4 linked regions of the Kluyveromyces lactis genome follow. The protein of the gene in region 1 interacts with the protein of each later gene in a pairwise test. Links are inferred from orthologs where the notes say so. Each region holds a gene or a part of one and is shown in the gene's direction. Other genes may lie near its edges. The genes, in order: URB1, MAK16, URB2 and RSA3.

The links.
Region 2: the proteins of URB1 (region 1) and MAK16 interact in binary tests that used the Saccharomyces cerevisiae proteins (3 or more experiments, as listed by UniProt). The link is inferred for Kluyveromyces lactis from reciprocal best matches to the Saccharomyces cerevisiae genes URB1 and MAK16.
Region 3: the proteins of URB1 (region 1) and URB2 interact in binary tests that used the Saccharomyces cerevisiae proteins (3 or more experiments, as listed by UniProt). The link is inferred for Kluyveromyces lactis from reciprocal best matches to the Saccharomyces cerevisiae genes URB1 and URB2.
Region 4: the proteins of URB1 (region 1) and RSA3 interact in binary tests that used the Saccharomyces cerevisiae proteins (3 or more experiments, as listed by UniProt). The link is inferred for Kluyveromyces lactis from reciprocal best matches to the Saccharomyces cerevisiae genes URB1 and RSA3.

Annotation. Positions count from the first base shown.
Region 1 is NC_006041.1:1,617,403-1,622,640, reverse strand, and holds the start of URB1 (Urb1p), read left to right. Parts: upstream 1-1,730; coding exon 1,731-5,238. Other genes in the region: DAL81 (Dal81p), read left to right, coding at 1-341; INA22 (Ina22p), read right to left, coding at 455-1,147. UniProt on the Saccharomyces cerevisiae protein: Required for 60S ribosomal subunit formation and pre-rRNA processing. Required for normal accumulation of 25S and 5.8S rRNAs.
Region 2 is NC_006037.1:358,665-362,845, reverse strand, and holds MAK16 (ribosome biosynthesis protein MAK16), read left to right. Parts: upstream 1-1,956; coding exon 1,957-2,865; downstream 2,866-4,181. Other genes in the region: mitotic regulator LTE1, read left to right, coding at 1-1,518; aminophospholipid-translocating P4-type ATPase DRS2, read left to right, coding at 3,191-4,181.
Region 3 is NC_006041.1:2,001,844-2,007,147, forward strand, and holds the start of URB2 (ribosome biogenesis protein URB2), read left to right. Parts: upstream 1-1,959; coding exon 1,960-5,304. Other genes in the region: NUP85 (Nup85p), read right to left, coding at 1-1,335.
Region 4 is NC_006042.1:1,225,374-1,229,040, forward strand, and holds RSA3 (Rsa3p), read left to right. Parts: upstream 1-1,588; coding exon 1,589-2,200; downstream 2,201-3,667. Other genes in the region: U3 snoRNA-associated protein UTP13, read left to right, coding at 1-1,249; CCC1 (Ccc1p), read right to left, coding at 2,455-3,366. UniProt on the Saccharomyces cerevisiae protein: Required for efficient biogenesis of the 60S ribosomal subunit.

The DNA of each region.
Region 1 (5,238 bases):
AGTTGAATGAATTACTTGAGGCACATTCGAAAACGCCAAAGACTCAAAGTACAAATATATCAAGCCACTCTTCAGAACCTCCTTCCCAGGAGAAATCTCCTCAGAGATCTATCCCTTTGGTTATCAATGATAAGATGAAGGGAAACAAGAATCCCATTACACCATCTAGTGCTACTGGAACAACTCACTCCCATGAAAGTCCTCGTAAGGATTTGAAAAAGAGTCCACCAAGAAGTGAAGTGAGACCCAAAATTAATACTCCTTCTAATGGCAGTGCTCCCCTCGAAGAAAAGGATGTGGTCCATGATGATACAAAGGTCACAAATGAAGTTAAGTTCTGATATATTTCGTTTCATTCGTTGTAACCATATATATATACATATATATTCATTTAGAAGTCATGTAAATGAAGTGAACAATTTTCACCAATTACAAAGATATTAGTTGGCACACCCTACAAAAATCTCTTGACTTTAGTTTCTTCTGCTGCGATGTTGTATTCACCAGGGTTCTCTACGATAACATGCTTCTCAGTAGAAGGTTTGAATGCTAATCTTTTCTGTTCTCTTTGTCTCTCATAATCTAGCCATTCCTTATCTACAATAATATCGTCAGAACCCTTCTTCATAGAATCACTATCTAATTTTTTCGTCGGAGCTGCGATGCTGCTATTTGGTTGATCGATATCTTTCATGATATCCTGAAAGATATCTTCCAGTGATTCTTCTTCAATTTGTGAATTCATGCCTTTTATTACCCTTTCACGATCAATAATCTCTTTGGCCGCACGTTCACGTATCATCTTAGCTTCTCTTTCCAAATCAACAGAATTACCCAGCTCATGACGAGCGAATAGCTTGTTAACTAATTCTAGTTCCTTCTCCGCATTGTAATTGAAATCGCCTTGCTTCGTACGGTCGATCAAATCCTGTAGAATCTTAATCTTCATCTCATATCTTCTAACCATATCAGCATGTCTCTGCTGTTGGGCTGAAACACTTGTTAACACAGATCCGAATATCAATAGTGAAATTAATGGTTTAATAGCTGACTTATCAAATCTGGACTTCTTTGCGCCGTTGGTTGCATTGGTTGCAACTTCTGAATACGCTCTTCTTGAGACTTTCAAAAACCTATGTGCGAACATCTCTCTTCGTGGATCCAATTAAACGATGTACTTCGAAGAAAAGTTAAAGATTTGACGAAGCTGTTCTGGAACTCTGGAAGTAACTCATCGATGTTAATCAATTCCAAGCTTTTCATTCTGTCAACCGATATTGTTTATATCTTTTGTAAAAATAGTACATAATTTGCATAATAAGCAACAATAAACGCTAATATCTATCCTTGAGTGACCTTATTGTTACATGTATCATATCCCAGCTATCTAAAGCAGCATATATAAGACTATGGATTGTCTTACAAGCAGGTGAGGGAATATGCAAGGTGATAAGTTACTATTAATTAATTATGTCACGTGAAAATCGCATGACGCCCCGTCATATTTGGAAAATTTGTTTCTTTTAGCGTAGAATGGAAGAAAAAAATGTTGATCAAGCTCATCGCATCGATTGGGCATATACAATCATCACTTTGTTTTACTAAAATCTATGTAAGACAGTAGCATTGGTTCATTTTAAAACTTCAAGAAAGTGTGCTGGTTTATTGTAATATATATAAGCCGTTAATATCTAGCGTTTTTTGAACAGAAACTACATTGTGTTTGCGCTATGAATAACGACGACGGCTCCATGTTAGGGACCAGAAAAAGGAAATGGAAACAGAACCTTCCAAGTGTTAGTAATGTGAGCAGTGGTTTATTTGATGACCTGCAGATTCTTATCAACGGTATTGATTTACTCAATGTTGATGTTTCCAATAATTACCGCCCTGTAGCTGAGTTTTTCCAAAAGGGACTTGCTGTGCAATGCACACAAGGTTGGTCATATTATGCACAGGTGAATGAACATGCTAAGTTTGCTGAAACTACTATAAAGCTCAAAAAACTAATTGCCATTTTGAATTCGAATACCAGTGTTGTGCAATACGGATCCGTTATTATCCGTGATATACTTAATAATTACTGTAAAGTTCTTTACAGAGGTATCAATAATCTGCGTCCTTCGATAACGAATTCAGTATTTGGGTTAATGACAGAGATTGTACAGTTTAATAAAGGCCAGTTCGTTGATGAATTTTTGTCATATTTCGATTTGACGTTGGTAGCATTGTTGAAGGTTTTGAATCCAAGAAAGCTTGATAACCCAGATATTGAAGCTACTAGGAAATCAACTCACATCTCTATGAGGTCCAACTTCGTTAAATTTTGGATAACACTAGTTAAGAACGCACCGGCGGTACTAAGGAAGGATATTCTCAGTGACAATCAGAAAATTATGACCGCGTGGGTTAAGAATATGGTTAAAATGGACTCTGTTGAACTTATCGAGGAATCTCTACATCTATTTATTGATTGCATTCTAAAAGAAACGAGTTTTAGGAAGATGACCAAGAGTAAGATTTTAAATGAGTTCGTTGTGAATAGGTTGCATGAGTTTTACTATTCTCCAAATAAAGCCATTGTTTCCTTGATAGATGAATTCTTTCAAATCTATGGTGGCGATACGGACTTTGGTGTCGTATTTACCGACAAAACTTCTTGGTTTGAGGATAGTTCAAACTTGAAGTCAGGCGTTCCTGTGGTAATTAACCAGAAGGTATTCAAGTTACACAACAAGTTATTATACACCACATTAACATTTTTTAAGCCATGGGAAGATGATACACAATGTAATACAGTCATAAAAATTTTAGGTAACGTCCCAGAGTTGGTGGCTCCTTACTCAACGTACGTGTCATCTATGGGATCACATGACCCAAAGATGACAGCTTATTGGTTTGGTATGACATTGTTTTTGGGTAGAATGATCAATCTTCCCATTCCAGAATACGTCGAAACAGTAGATTCTGATAGTCTTCCATCCACAACAATTGTCGTGGAGTCGATTATTCCTTCTACTTTAACGAAAACAGCTCTTACGAAATGTCTGCAAAACAAAGTAAATCTAATCAGACAGATGGGAAGTCAATTGTTGGTATTTTCATTGAAGAAATTGGATAAAGTGCTGGACTTGTACAACGAAAAGGGATGGGATAATTCAAAGGCAATGCTCTTAAATGCTTATTTTTCGTACTTGCCAGATTTACCCGTTTTGACGACAGTTTTGAATATCTTATACACGGAATCCCCAACTAACAAAATTTTACCTTTGTCCTTAACCGTTATCCTCAATTACTATAGTAAAATATTCCCAAACTTCTTCAACGTCAATTTACCAGCTAGCAACATATATGTTGATATTATGAAAAGTGATCAATTTTCAGGAATGGATTTGGTTATCCTTGATAATTTCATGAAGTTCCAGGAACTAAATAACTCCCAAATCAAGTGGTGGAATGCCTCAAATAACGAAAACTCTCTATTCACATCGCTTTTAAGGCTCGCATCTTCGAAAAACGCTTCATCAATCGTCACTTCTAGAATATCGAATTTACTATTCAATTTGGTACAGTTCAGTAATATTTTCAAGATGAAAGAGCTAATAAGTTCTCCAATTTCAGCTTTAATTAATAGTTTATCGCTTTTGTCAAGTACTGGTTCCTCTTTTTCCACCTCGGAGCACATGAAGATTTTGAAACTATTGGATGAAGCCATTTCTAGATGTCATAAGACTCCGTATAAGTATGTTGATATGGCAAGGCAATATGAGAATCTATCACCTTTCCTTTTGACACTTGTTGAACAATGGAAATTTGTCCAAATTGATAACCCAAAAGAGTCAGTTATCGTCAAGTGGTTACTTATATTTTTCAGAAATATGCTGGTGCTAGGAGAGTCTGAAGTAGGTATTAGAAATCTACTTTCTAACGTTGAAAGTATACCTCATAATCTTGTCGAATTGTACTTATCCTTTACTGACGAGATCATTAAGAAAGTATCATCTCCGGAATACCTTTTGTTTTCAAATGATTCAACTTCTAGCTATGATCACATTTTGTTGCAATATTCCCCGAAGTTAAGCAAAATGAGCAGATTCCCTGTGAATTCTTTTGATGTAGCTGCTATTATTTTCCGTCTAAAGAAAACGATGTCAGGCAGTTTACTTTCTACGCAGGTACAGGAAACTATTGATAACCTATTGTCCAAGGTGGGTAATTATGCATTAGGTGATATGAAGTTTAAGAAACGTGTCGTTAAGAAAAGTTATTTTTCTCATTTGTTTGATGGTGAGTTGCCTAATATAGACAGCGATTCATTTGACTTATTCTTATACGTTGTTAATGGCCTTCAACAAATTTATAGTCAGCTCGATATTGAGTATGATGAATTCAGCAAATATGCCTTTGATTTATTCAAGACAATTGCTGCTTCTGAAAAATCACAGCGCAGAACCATTGCGCTGGGAGTTTTAAGCGAAATAGTTTCAGCCGAAGATGTTATCAAGTGTTTGCATATGATAGATAATTATTCTGAAACGGTTTGTAGGCAGTTGCTTCAAAGATGTCTAGTAGAAAATGTCATTGTTGATGTTGAGATCTTTACGAAAATCCTCGAAGTGGCGACTTCAGATATTCAGAAATTACTTCAACAAATTCTGGATTTCAAGCTTGTTAAGATTGAGATTGTCGACGTGACTAAATTAGCTTCATCTATTATCGGAAAAGAAGCATTTTTTATAGAGTCTTGTATGAGAATTAAAGGGTTGACAAACTCTCTATCCAACCAGTACTCAGAGATTCCGGATCCAACTACCAAGATTATAATTGCGACGCATTTGCAGAAGGAAACAGATAGAGAAGCTATTATGGAAGCAATAAACATAGCTATGGAAAACTTGAACAGCGCTTCAGGTTATAAATTGTCAGCATCCTTGGCCTTGTTAACCACTCACCACAGCTTATTGGATACTGGCAATATTGAACAAGCCACTAAATTTATCACCGAACATAAGATGAAATATACAGCAGATGGTGCAGCCTTCATCATGGCTGTAGATCGTTATGAGGACAATAATGTGAGGACGTGGTTGAACAAGCTTTTCTTATACATCACAAAATACCTTGCTGAAAAACCAGTGTTATCTGAGAGCTTTGCAAAGATTCTTGAAACAACTAAGAAGTTTATGACTAAATCATCTGCAGATTTGTGGAAATTAGTGAAGCCATCCATTCTTAATG
Region 2 (4,181 bases), on another chromosome or scaffold:
CTTTCTGAGACTCCAAGTATAAAGTCAATAGGAAGTCGTGATTCAGAAGAATCCTTTGATCTCACGTCGATTGCTAGTAAACCAAATCGCGCACAATCCACAACTCTGAGAGAGAAATATCATCTAGAAAAACAGGCAACTAATGACATTTTCGAGGAAGACGTTGAAAACTTGAATCCAGAGAATAACAAATACCTGTTTTCCCCAGACACTGATAGCATAGATTTTGCATCCCCAGAAAAGAACCTCGACGATTTAAAACAACAGTTTATTGACCAGTCAACTGATGAGCAAACGTCGTTAGATGAAGAGGAGATTGCTACTCAGGATAATGAAAATAAAGATCATGGAATTGATAAAAAGAAACTAGAGGACATTATGAATGGTATTGACGACACAGCTGATACTTCTATGGATCCTGTTAATCTTGCTTTAATGAAATTAGAAGGGACGTATGATAAAGGGGAAAAGGAAATAGATGATAAAAGTCCATCAATTAACAGCGAATTAGCCCGGGAAGTTGAAAATTTCCAAATCGTACAAACTGCAGCTCTTCCTGAAAGCGCTCGCAAAAGGCAATCCATGTTCATACAGAGAAGACGCAACACAATGATCGATTTTAGCGTTCGTGATTCACTCATTGACAAAGACTCCTCCTGCACCAGATTGGAAAATACTGATGAACAAATTCGTAATTTGTTAAACCAGTACACATTAACTGATTCAAGGCTTAAAATAGACAATTTAGAGCAACATATCCCGTTCATTCTGATGTATGATTCTAAATCTGTGGCAAACCAATTGACCTTGATTGAAAAGGAAATTCTATCTGAAGTTGATTGGAAAGATCTATTGGATTTGACAATGAGTGAACAACTTCCACAATTTACCAGTTGGCTGCAATTATTGGTACAGAACGAAAACTTGTCGGGTATCGATTTAGCCATAGCAAGGTTCAACTTGACCGTGGATTGGATCATTTCTGAAATCGTAATGACTCAGGACATAAGGTTGAGAAGGAACACGATCCAAAGATTCATTCACATAGCCGAACACTGTAAAGAGTTACAAAATTACAATACTTTGATGGAAATCATCCTTGCATTAAACTCCATTGTCGTTCAGAAATTCACTGAAACATGGAGACTTGTCGAACCAGGCGATCTATTGACTTGGGAAACGTTGAAGGCCATACCATCCCTGGAAAAGAATTACAGTAACATTAGACAATTAATAGACGAAGTCGAACCACTTTCTGGATGCATTCCATTTATCGTGGTATACTTATCGGATCTATCTTTAAACATTGAGAAACGTACCTGGATTGTACATGACGAAGTGCTAAATTACAACAAATTCCAAACAAATGTTCAAATAGTGAAAAACTTCGTACAGAAGATGCAATGGTCCAAATTTTACAACATTGATATTGACCATGAGTTGTTAAGCAAGTGTGTTTACATCACATCATTGTCCCATGACGAAATCAATTCAATTTCACATAAATCCCCAATTTAATTCTTTAATGTCGAGTAAAGTATTTGACATAGAACTAGTTAGTCTCAGTTCATTTCACCTCATATAATATATATATCAACACACGATTTTATCAGTTTCAAATAGTTTCATCCACATTTTTTTCGAACATATTTGAATGAAGGTTAATCTCTTTAGATCTAATCATGCATATTCCGACTCTTGATTAAGTTTCCGATTATAACAATAAAATATCATTGGTCATGTGACTAAAAATTTAGTAATCCATTTCTTTTTTCTCTTTCTGCCTGAAAATTTTTGAGAACTGAAAAATATCGATGCGATGCGATGAGATGAGATGAAATGAAAGAAGCAGCGACTAGCGGAATAGCAAGTAAACTTAGCGATAGTCATAACCAATTTAAATAAACTCATACTAAGCATAAACCAGTATCTGTAGGATTGACTGAACATTAGCAGATGTCTGACGAGATCATTTGGCAGGTTATCAACCAGCACTTTTGTGCGTACAAAGTCAAAACTGATAAGGGACAGAACTTCTGTAGAAATGAATACAACGTAACAGGTTTATGTTCGAGACAAGCGTGTCCTTTGGCAAATAGTAAATATGCCACTGTAAAGAACGTGGACGGAACACTTTACTTGTACATGAAGACCGCGGAAAGAGCTCACACGCCTGCTAAATTGTGGGAAAGAGTGAAACTATCTAAGAATTACACAAAGGCATTAGCACAGATCGATGAACATTTACTGTATTGGAACAAGTTCTTAATTCATAAGTGTAAGCAAAGGATGACAAAGCTTACACAAGTGATGATTACAGAGAGACGTTTGGCATTGAGAGAGGAGGAGAGACATTATGTCGGTATTGCTCCTAAGGTGAAAAGAAGAGAAGAGAACCGAGAACGTAAGGCATTATCAGCCGCTAAGATTGAAAAGGCTATCGAAAAAGAATTGCTTGAGAGATTGAAGAGTGGTGTGTATGGTGATAAGCCTTTGAATGTGGATGAAAAGATCTGGAAGAAGGTCATGGGACGTGTAGAAGACGAGGACTTGGATGAAGAAGAAAACGATTGGGATGAGGAAGAAGAAAGCGATGAGGGAGAAGTCGAATTCGTAGAAGATGAAGACGCTGAGGATGAGATGGTAGATATGGAAGATTTAGAAAAATGGCTCGGTGGTTCTGATACATCTGATTACAGCAGTGATGAGGACAGTGACGAAGACAGTAGCGACGAAGATAGCGATGAAGAAGAAAACCCATCTAAGAGACAAAAGAAATCTACACAAACCAGAAAGAGACATCCTAAGGTTGAAATCGAATATGAACAGGAACTAAATTCCAACCAACAAGAACTTGCACAATGATGCGTTTCTGAAAAACAGAGCTCGTCATGACCACATTTGTATACTATTAAATTTGACATATTATTATATTTATTGAAGATAAATTTCCAACTACGATAAAGAAGCAAAGGCAATAGTTAATAATTATATACACTTACAATAGCATCTCACCATCAATAGTATGTCCCCTTTCCCTTCATTTTGTTATACTGTACCCAAATAATGCATTCGAAATAGCAGTCACGTGGAAATATTGTTTCCATGCTGACAGTTTTTTCTTTGTAAATTATACCGGAAAATCCCATTAGGACACATTAAACAGAAAGATTCGTAAACCATTTGCACCATGAAACCCAAGTACTTTGAAAGGGAGATACAGAGCCAGAGAGGAGCGACACACCGATCAACCTGCTTTCCAATGAGTGGCTCAACTAAGCATGGCGACAGCGATGCGTTGTTTGATGTTGACTTTCTTGATGATAGCTACACCCCGGATTTACGGGATAGTCCAAGAAGGAACAGCCCAAGTGCAGTAATAGATTCAGGAATGGATACCTCACAGAGAGGCTTACTCCCACAAGAGACCATTGACCTCAGTGACAACATAGAGAACGACATTGAAAATCCTTTCAATGACCGTTATTCAGCATCCTTTGCAGACACTAACCCTAGGAATAGTGTCTTACCTCAGCCAAGTGGGTTCAATAGATTTATGAGCAATGTGAAAAGTGCAGTCGGTATGAATGGTGGACATAAGGGTCAATTCCAAAGTTTCGAAATGAATGACTACGATCAGAGCAACACTAATAGGTATGAAAGCTCTACGAGGAAGTTTGACATCAAAGTTTTGTTCAACAGGTATATTCTCAGAAAAGGGAAAACCTCTTGTAAGTCTGACGAGCCAAGAACGATTTTACTCAACGATAGTTCAGCAAATAGCCGTTTCGGCTACAGAGATAATCACATCTCTACGACGAAATATAACGCTGCAACTTTCTTGCCAAAGTTTTTGTTTCAAGAATTCTCCAAATACGCGAATTTGTTCTTCTTATTCACCTCCATTATCCAGCAAGTACCTAATGTTACACCTACCAATAGATATACGACCATTGGTACACTATTAGTAGTGTTAATTGTTTCTGCAGTTAAAGAAAGTGTCGAAGATTTGAAAAGATCGAATGCTGATAAGGAATTGAATCATTCCCTGTGTGATGTTTTGGACGAAAGATCTGGAGAGTTTGTGAGGAAAAAGTGGATTGATATAGCAGTTGGTGATATTATAAGAGTTAGATCTGAGGAAGCAATTCCTGCTGATTTGATCATTCTTTCCTCTTCGG
Region 3 (5,304 bases), about 380 kb from region 1:
AAATTCTCCAATGGTTGGTTCATTTTCAAATGCAAGTTCTGAGTTCAATCCACTTTTATGAGCAAAAATTTCGTAGAAGTCAGTTTTTATAATTCCTTTAGCTTCGCACAATACCGCTACAAAAGCAGCAGTTGCAAGGTCTAAGGATTCAAGAATCGGTAACACATCAGCAACTTTGTCATTGATAATGTGATAACACGGCGTTTCCCAGTTATTGCAAACATCGATGGCATTATGTTTAGTAGCTAATTGTCCATATTCTTGACTCAATTCCAAAGTTGGTATATAGTACAACATCAATCCACAGTACGATTCGTACCAATACTGTGAGAATTCACAGATTTTATTTTTAGAACCACTTAAAATCATGAAGATGTTCATCAAATTCTTCTTGATTTCAGGTTCAACCTCTTGTTCATCCCAATTTGTCATTAATTGGAGTACGCTATTCTTCCATTCACGGAATAAATTTTCAGAATGAAGTGGGTAACTCTCAATGATTGTAATCAAATCAGTGACAAATACTCCCACTGTTTCATTTCCATGTTCCAGCAGTTGAGAATTTTGAATGCATTGGATACTCTGAGACCATAAGCCTCTCAAAAGAAGCTGTGCCGTTAGGTCCCAAAAATCAGATTGTTCATAGACTTTTCTTCGCGTCAGAAGGGTTTCATCAAAGATCTTTTGAATAACCAGCTCACTTGGTTCACCATCTGATCTGTTCACCCAATTGATCAAAGACTCTAGAAGGTCCTCTTGTTTGTATTCCGGAGAGTCAGTTAAAAAGTAAATTGTCTTCAAGCAATTTAGTATGCTCAAACATTCCTCAAGATCTCCAATTCGTTGCAGCTTATTCGTGTATTTGATGGATTCAATGTAGAACTCTAGTTCTGTAACCAAGGCATGAAATGCTAAATTAACTATCGAGAAGTGTTCGAGTCTTGAAGTTTGTTTTATTAGCCCTATGGTCGGTACATCGTTCTTGCGATGTTCTCCTAATCCCTGATACAACTCAAAAAGTTTTGATACATATTGGGCAAATTCTTTAGATTCATCTAAATGTAGAAATCTTACAGGATATAGTTTATTATCTTTCGTAGAGTTATCAAAAGCAAGGCTTCGGGACGAAACGTTGTTGTATTTGAAGCGTAATTCTTTGGCCGAGGGTTGCTCAATAGGGAAGTTCACCATTGGTGCATTGCTGACAGGGTCAACATTGATTGTTAGATTAATATCATCATCACTTTCATTGCTGATACCTTCTTCGTCCAAAAAGTCTAGGTTATCGACATCCATTAATAGGTCCTGTGTGTCGGCGAATTCATCGTTAGCCATTGTTACTGCTATGATTCTTTGGTGAAAACACGCGATTAAACCGCAAATTTCAGTTTAACTCAAGGTTTCAAAAAAGAAAATTATATTAACAGTCAGTACAAATCCCAATCCAGCGATTGAACGTAACTCCTTTAATGATTTGGAGCGTAATTGGTCTCTATATTCTCATTTTCTCTCAATGTTTACTGATTGCAATATTCAAAATATATCCTAAAAGTGATATATACGAATCTCTTAGAAAAATTTGATGCTTGTTACACCCGTACACCACATATGAAATTCCATCTATCCTTCTTGAACTTCCAACATTTATCTACTGAACCAGCGAGTATAGCTATGGGTTGCCCCTCTAAATGATAAATTTATATGCCGGTAGATCAGCATGTGCCAAAAAGCGCATCAGAGATCTCCAAGTGCTCCTTAAATCATCTTTCTTTATACTTTTTCTTCCGTAATGAACTGCGTATAATTTCTTATTGTCAAATTTTACTGAACATCAATTTTCAAACATTAAAAGTAGCGATGAGATGAGATGAGATGAGATGAGGTAAAACGAGATCACCTAGCAGATTACATATCGATATAGCAGCTCTGAACGACGTTCGTAAGGGTGAGAAAATCAAAATGTCCTTTCCCAATACTGCAGAAGGTATCACTCGGTATCTCAGATCGAAGAACGTCACTACACAAGAGATTTATGACATTTCGGTTTCCGTACTAGATGGGAAATACGATATATACTTTCCAAATGGCCATATCTTTATATTAGAATTGATCATTGACAGATGGAATGATGCTAAACAGGCACAGTTCAGAAAGGACACCAACATTTGGAAGTTATGGAAACAGCTATGGGTTATGGTTTCGTCTGAGAATCATAAGAAAAAATTATTGAGGAATCTAAGATCAGTAAATTTAATTCAACTAACATTTGAAGAGATGCAGGACGGTGACCATGAGCTTTGTGAGCATGTATATGAGGTACTGAAATCTGTTAATTCTTGTATGATTACCGCAGTCTCTCCGGAAGCAGGTCTTAAGCTTTTAGGTAGAGTCATAGATATCGTACTTTCCTGTGACTTTGGTCGTGAGAACTTCCTGAAGCAAGCAATAATTTCAGAAATTTTGACATTTACTGATTTGAACAACTTTACGGAAGTATCTAATAAAGTTTCTGGTGTGTACTGCTCTGAACTGTTGCTACCGAGTTTGAAATACTTCAAGCAGGCTGACGAAGAGGTGTTTGACAACATCTTTGACGTATTATCTGAGTTTACAAAAAGGTATTTATTTGAATTCACAAGGGATTTGCCTGCAGCGTTGAAAACTTTTGTAGGTTTGCATAAAAGTTCCCTCTCCCCAGATTTATTGGTTTTGCTTTTCACAAAGTGCATTACAACAGGTAAATGCGATGCCGCTACTCTGGAAACCATTTTAAAAATGTTGTTAGATATTGATGTCACAATATGCGCAGATTTGTTGGCTACACTCAATGCCTACAGAAAGATTATTTCACAGACGTTTTTAGAGTCATTATTCACTTCCGTATTTGAGTCCAGAGATTGGAAAATAATTAAGAGCATTATCGAAATGGACATTGAAATTGGTATCTTGAAGACGGAAGAATTAATGAATGCTATGGACGCTTCGACCACTAATTTTGAGCTAGAAATTTGGACTTCAATTATCAATTGTCATGTCAATGCCAGAGAATTTACAAATCTTTTGACTATCTGGAGAGAATATTGTAGGAAAAACACCACTTCATTATTCTTGACTGATTCGAAAATGACTAAGGTCCTTTCCGATAATGTTCCTGCATTATCTGTAACACAGACTCGTGCAATCATTACAGATTTAGTAGATGTTATTGCTTCTGAGAATGATATTTTTTCAGTGAATATTTTACAAGTTATAGTTTCTGGATTGAAAATGCTCTCTTATGCGCAGTGCTTGGAATTTCGGATTTATCTTTCAAAACTTTTTGAAATAGAGGGTTTTAATGCTCCAGTATTTTGGCAACTCAAATATCACGTTCTTGAACTATATGATGATCTTCCTATCGCTGTGAAGTTCAATCCTGACGACGCATCAGGTCTCATCAATCTTGGAAAAAAATACCATAGTAGTGAACTATTTTTCGCCTTATTCAAGTTCTACGAGCTCCAGCCATTTGAAAATTTACCTGTTATTGAAGCTTTTATGAATTTTATTGGTAATCTGGACTCAGCAGAGTTATCAAATATTCTACAGACCCTTTTAACGCGTTGGTCAACTCTCGTCGATTCATCATTCGGAAATAAGAACATATCACACCTGATCGAAAAACTACTTCAAAATCACATCGATATTTTGCCTGTGCTATTCGCTGAAGAGGATTTTTTTGAAGAGTCTAACATTGTTCGTTCGATAGTGGTTCACTTGACAGCCGATGTTAATTCTAACCTTCATCTGAAGTATTTATTGGAAATTCCAATTCAATGTTTGAATAAGGCTGTAAGATTGGCAATCCTAGACCAAATAATAGAGAAGGATGTTTTGAAAGAGGATGACATAAATGTTCTTTGTCATGTTTTGAAAAACCCTACCTCGAGGAGCAAAATAGAAACCGATTATAAAACAATGCTCACGTTTGTCGGCAATTCATTCTTCAAATATAGCTTGGAAAATCCGGTTATTGCAGCCGTTTGGCAGAGTGCACTGCTTCAAAGAAACGACAACAAAGCATCTTCATCCATGGATTCTCTATTACAAAGCATTCAGGCAAATTTGAATCATACCTTTGATTATAACACTTATGCCTTGTTGCATCTGGTACTCAAAACATGCGATGAATCAGGGTTGCATTTAGATGCTCTTAAGGTTAAGTTCATCAATAGTTTGATTTACAATATTCAGCATTTCAACGGAGATTTCAAATTACTTGCATGGCTGCTCAAGGTTTTGTTCATTCAAGCAAGTAACTCTAAAACAACAATTCCTGTTCCACCGTTATTTTCGAAGGCATCCGCCATTCCTTCTGACATTGAAGTTCAATCGGCATATTTTATGGTATCAACACTAAATTACAATGATAATATTGAATATCTTCTAGCGCAGTATCTTATCTTAAGAGAAAATGGAGTGTCTAAAGAGATGTTATTACAGGCAATAAAATTGAACATATCCAAGAGAATTATTAATAACGATGAAGACTTCAATACAGCATTCGAAACGATCTGCAATACTATGCCTGTACTATCAACAAGCAACTCCGGAGCAGTATTGGAGCTGCTACAGTTATTCATCCACTTTGTTTCAAAACAGAATAGTAGTGGAAGGCATATTTTTGTCAAATCAATTTCACACCTTTTAACAAACTACTCTACTAGCATTATAGACAGAAAAGATATTATATCTTTCATTACCTTTCTGAATGATCTGCTGGTGGCCAAACCGTTTTTATTCACACAGTACTGTTCAGAAATGCTTTTCCCACTAACATCCAAGATTCTTTTGGATAACATAATCAAAGCAGCTGATACACCCGATCAGAGAGAGATCAAAAATAAGATTCCATACTCTAAAAATGACCTGATTTTTTCCTGCACACATATGCTCTCTTCATTGCTATTATTTCATCGTTATAAGTTATCCAATCGTACTCATTTGATCAACATTGTTATCTGCCAATTACTGGAGTTACTATCAGATGCTAAGCAATACGCTCTATCGGTTGAATCAGCGAAAGCAGTATCAAGATTCATATGTAACTATTGTGAGCCTGCAAATGTGAGAAGCAGTAAGCAGACGACATTGTCCTCGGCTGTTTCTAATGTTAAAAGATCGCTAAGAAAGAATCTGCCAGTTGTTCTTCTACAATTCATCAAATTATCAGTTTCAAAACCATATCCCACCACGATAAAGAAAGAGTTGATGCTCGCAGTATACGCTATTTTTGATCTTCTGTCGCAGACTGAAATGAACTTG
Region 4 (3,667 bases), on another chromosome or scaffold:
CGCTGATGGTCTCTGGGTTGCTACAGCATCCAAGGATCACAGCGTTATATTATGGAGATATCATGCAAAGTACGAAGACTTTTATCCATACACTAAATTTGTCGGTCATGTAGGTTCTGTGAATGCTGTTGGACTTCCTAATGTTATGCCACGTTCATGGCCTGAATTCATAATTACAGCTTCTAACGATTTGACCATAAAGAAATGGAAGGTTCCTAAGGTGACATCTGATGAACCCGAAGATCTAATACTTGTTAAGACCTCAGAATATACCAGAAGGGCGCATGAAAAGGATATCAATGCTATCTCCATTTCACCTAATGATTCTCTATTTGCCACGGCTTCATACGATAAGACATGTAAAATATGGAATTTGGATGATGGTGAATTCCAAGCCACATTAGCAAACCACAAACGTGGTCTATGGGACGTTGCATTCTGTCAATATGACAAGTTATTGGCCACATGTTCCGGTGACAAGACCATCAAAATTTGGTCCTTAGAATCATATGCCGTCGTAAAAACTTTGGAAGGACATACCAATGCAGTTCAAAGATGTTCCTTCATAAACAAGAACAAGCAACTGATAAGTACTGGTGCTGATGGTTTAGTTATTATTTGGGATCTATCAACTGGTGAATCGGTCAAGACACTAGATGCTCACAATAACCGTATCTGGGCTCTTGCTGTTATGAACGATGGTGAATCCTTCGTTACAGCAGATGCTGACGGCTTCTTTGAGTTCTGGAGGGATAACAGTGAAGAGGAACACGAACGTAACCTCGAGCAAGAGAAACTGAAGATTGAACAAGAACAATCATTACAAAATTATCTCTCAGAAGGTGACTGGACTAACGCATTTTTGCTTGCCATGACCTTGGATCACCCAATGAGATTGTACAACGTCTTAAGACAAAGTGTAGACAACTCAAATGAGGATCCAAATGTAGTTTTCAACAACGAAATTGACGAGGTTGTGTCGACTCTAGATAAAGATCAACTTCTTCTTTTAGTGAAAAGGTGCAGAGATTGGAATACAAATGCAAGAACACACACAGTAGCCCAAAAGATGATAAGGTGTATTCTTCTAAGACAAAATATTGAAGAGTTGAGCGAAATTCCTGGGCTTGTAAGGATCGTTGAATCAATAATCTCATACGCAGAGAGACATTACTCAAGAATGGATAACTTGGTTCAAGAAAGTTATATCTTAGATTACGCTTTAGTTCAAATGGACAAATTGCTATAAAGAATGTAAATATAGCACTAGTCGTCATGTAGATATATACATATAACAGTACAACACACCCACCGCATCAACTCTGAATAGATACCATATCCAGTCAAGGGCCATCCATCAGTAGAATAATAAGTTTGTTACCCGGCTTTGAGTTTTAGACAGAATTTGTTTCCCTGCAAAAGAAACTTCATCAAATAACTAGACGATGTGAAGCGATGAGATGAGATGAGATGAGATCGGCTCTCATCCTTCTTCTGTTAAAAGGTGACTTCAACTGTGAATTTTTGACAGTTATACTTTAAAGTTAACTCTCCTCCATATTAACGAGAAGCTCTATCGGAAACTATCATGTCAGAGGGACATATTGCAGCTATTAGCAAGACGAACAAGAGGAAGAACAGAAGAAAGAAGAGAAGAACGCAAGACGTGTCCGACTCAAGTTCTGATTCCAGCTCCGATTCTGAAAATTCATCGGTAGAAGATAATGATACTAAGCTCGAAACTGTGGAGAAAGCTGCATCTGATGTTGAAGATGTAACGCTTTCAGATATTGACATGGATAAAGAAGAAGATGAAGCTGCATTGGACGATAAAAAAGCCAGCCGAAAAGAGGGAAGCGTCTTGTCCTCGGAGACTGTGGACAAATTAAATAAAGTGGGACTAACAACAAGCGATTTAACTGGCAACAATGGCATTCATCTAGGGAATATCGATTTGAATAAGATGTCTGCTACGTTAGATGAAAGCAGCAATAAATTGCTAGAGAATAATAAGGACAAGAACGGATTAAAGAATCAATATTTGAGTATGCTATTTGAGAGTTATGGTGATGACATGAACGAATTGAGAAACGCACCAGATTTCACTTCGAAGACCCTTGTCATGCTAGCGAATGTTCTAAAAGACGGAGGAGATATGTTTGATTTGGAGACCTTGAAGACAATAGTAGAGGATAAATAGTGTTTGGATCTATCTAGCATTTTAAAAACACATGTATAATAAAATAAAAATACAAACCATCTATCACGATACAGCTAGAATGAATCAAATAAAGTCTGGACGGCAAATTGATGATTTGGAGTAAGATATGAATACGTATTGGAATGATAAAAAAAAAAGTACGTGATACTAGGGAACGCTTAAAAGAAGAAGTAAAATAAATAAGAGATGATGAGGATGATTATGATTAATTAATTTTGTTTTATTTGTGACTCTCATTCGATGACCTTAACGAAGAACCAAGCTGCACCTGCAGCAGTCCCACCGACTGCTATCATTTGTAAGCCTTCCAGTAACTTTTTCTGCAGGGTACAATCGTTCATTGAGACTTGGGATTTGAAATATCCGAACCAGAACAACGTGAAAGTCATTAATGCAATAGAGATCAGGAGACCGGTTCCCACCGTTTCAACAAAGAAATATGGTATTAACGGGACGAACCCACCGGCAAAGTATCCTCCTCCGATCGTTAGTGCACTAATCCATTGTCTATTATCATCGGGTTCATCTAAACCTCTTCCGTATTTGATAATGAAATCCACCATAAGTTCTGGGTCTCGTTGCATATCTTTCACAAACGATATCACTGTATTTTCCGAGAATTCTGGGTTCATTTCCATTAGTATATCTTCAATTTCATGGTTTATTAGCTGAGTATTGCTATAAAATTTCCTTTTTTCTTGCGACACCTCCGATTTATAGTAATCACTTTCAGATTTAGCACCCAAATAACCACCAAGACCCATAGATATAGCACCAGAGATCAATTCCGCGAACCCACCTGTAATCACCAACTTGGAATCTCCCAACGAGGAAAGACCTGCGGTCAACGCGAAAGGAACCGTCAAACCATCACTGAGTCCGATAATCATATCGGACATAACTCTTGGATCAATCTTACCGAACAATCCAGACGTACCATCATCCTCATTGTCATAATCGTCAAACCCACCTGTATGCTTTGAGGATTCTATATCGCCATCCTGTGGTGAAGCCGAGTATCGATGACTATTCAAATTAGTGGTAGAATTCGAATTGGAATTAGAACTATCGGATGATAGTAATGGAACTTCCTGATTTTTCGCTACGAGTTTTGACACAGCGTTTTTAATTGCAACCACGGACATGTAGTTCTAGTTTCTGAATATGTTATAATATATTGTTATTCTGGTCTTATTTTTACCAAATAGTTAAAATTGTATAGCAGAGCAGTACTGCTGATAAACCAATATCTACAAATAAAACCGTTCTTGTGTTTTGTTCCCCACTTATTCCAGGTTTGTTCCCTTGGTTTCACTTCTCAAAAAATCACCTCAACTTTATTTTCTTTGAAAAACGTCTATGAGAATTCAAATAGATACTGCGAGTGCAAACAAAAACCAACCAACAGCTCAAGCAATGTGTCTGACACTTGTTCCAATATTGTTT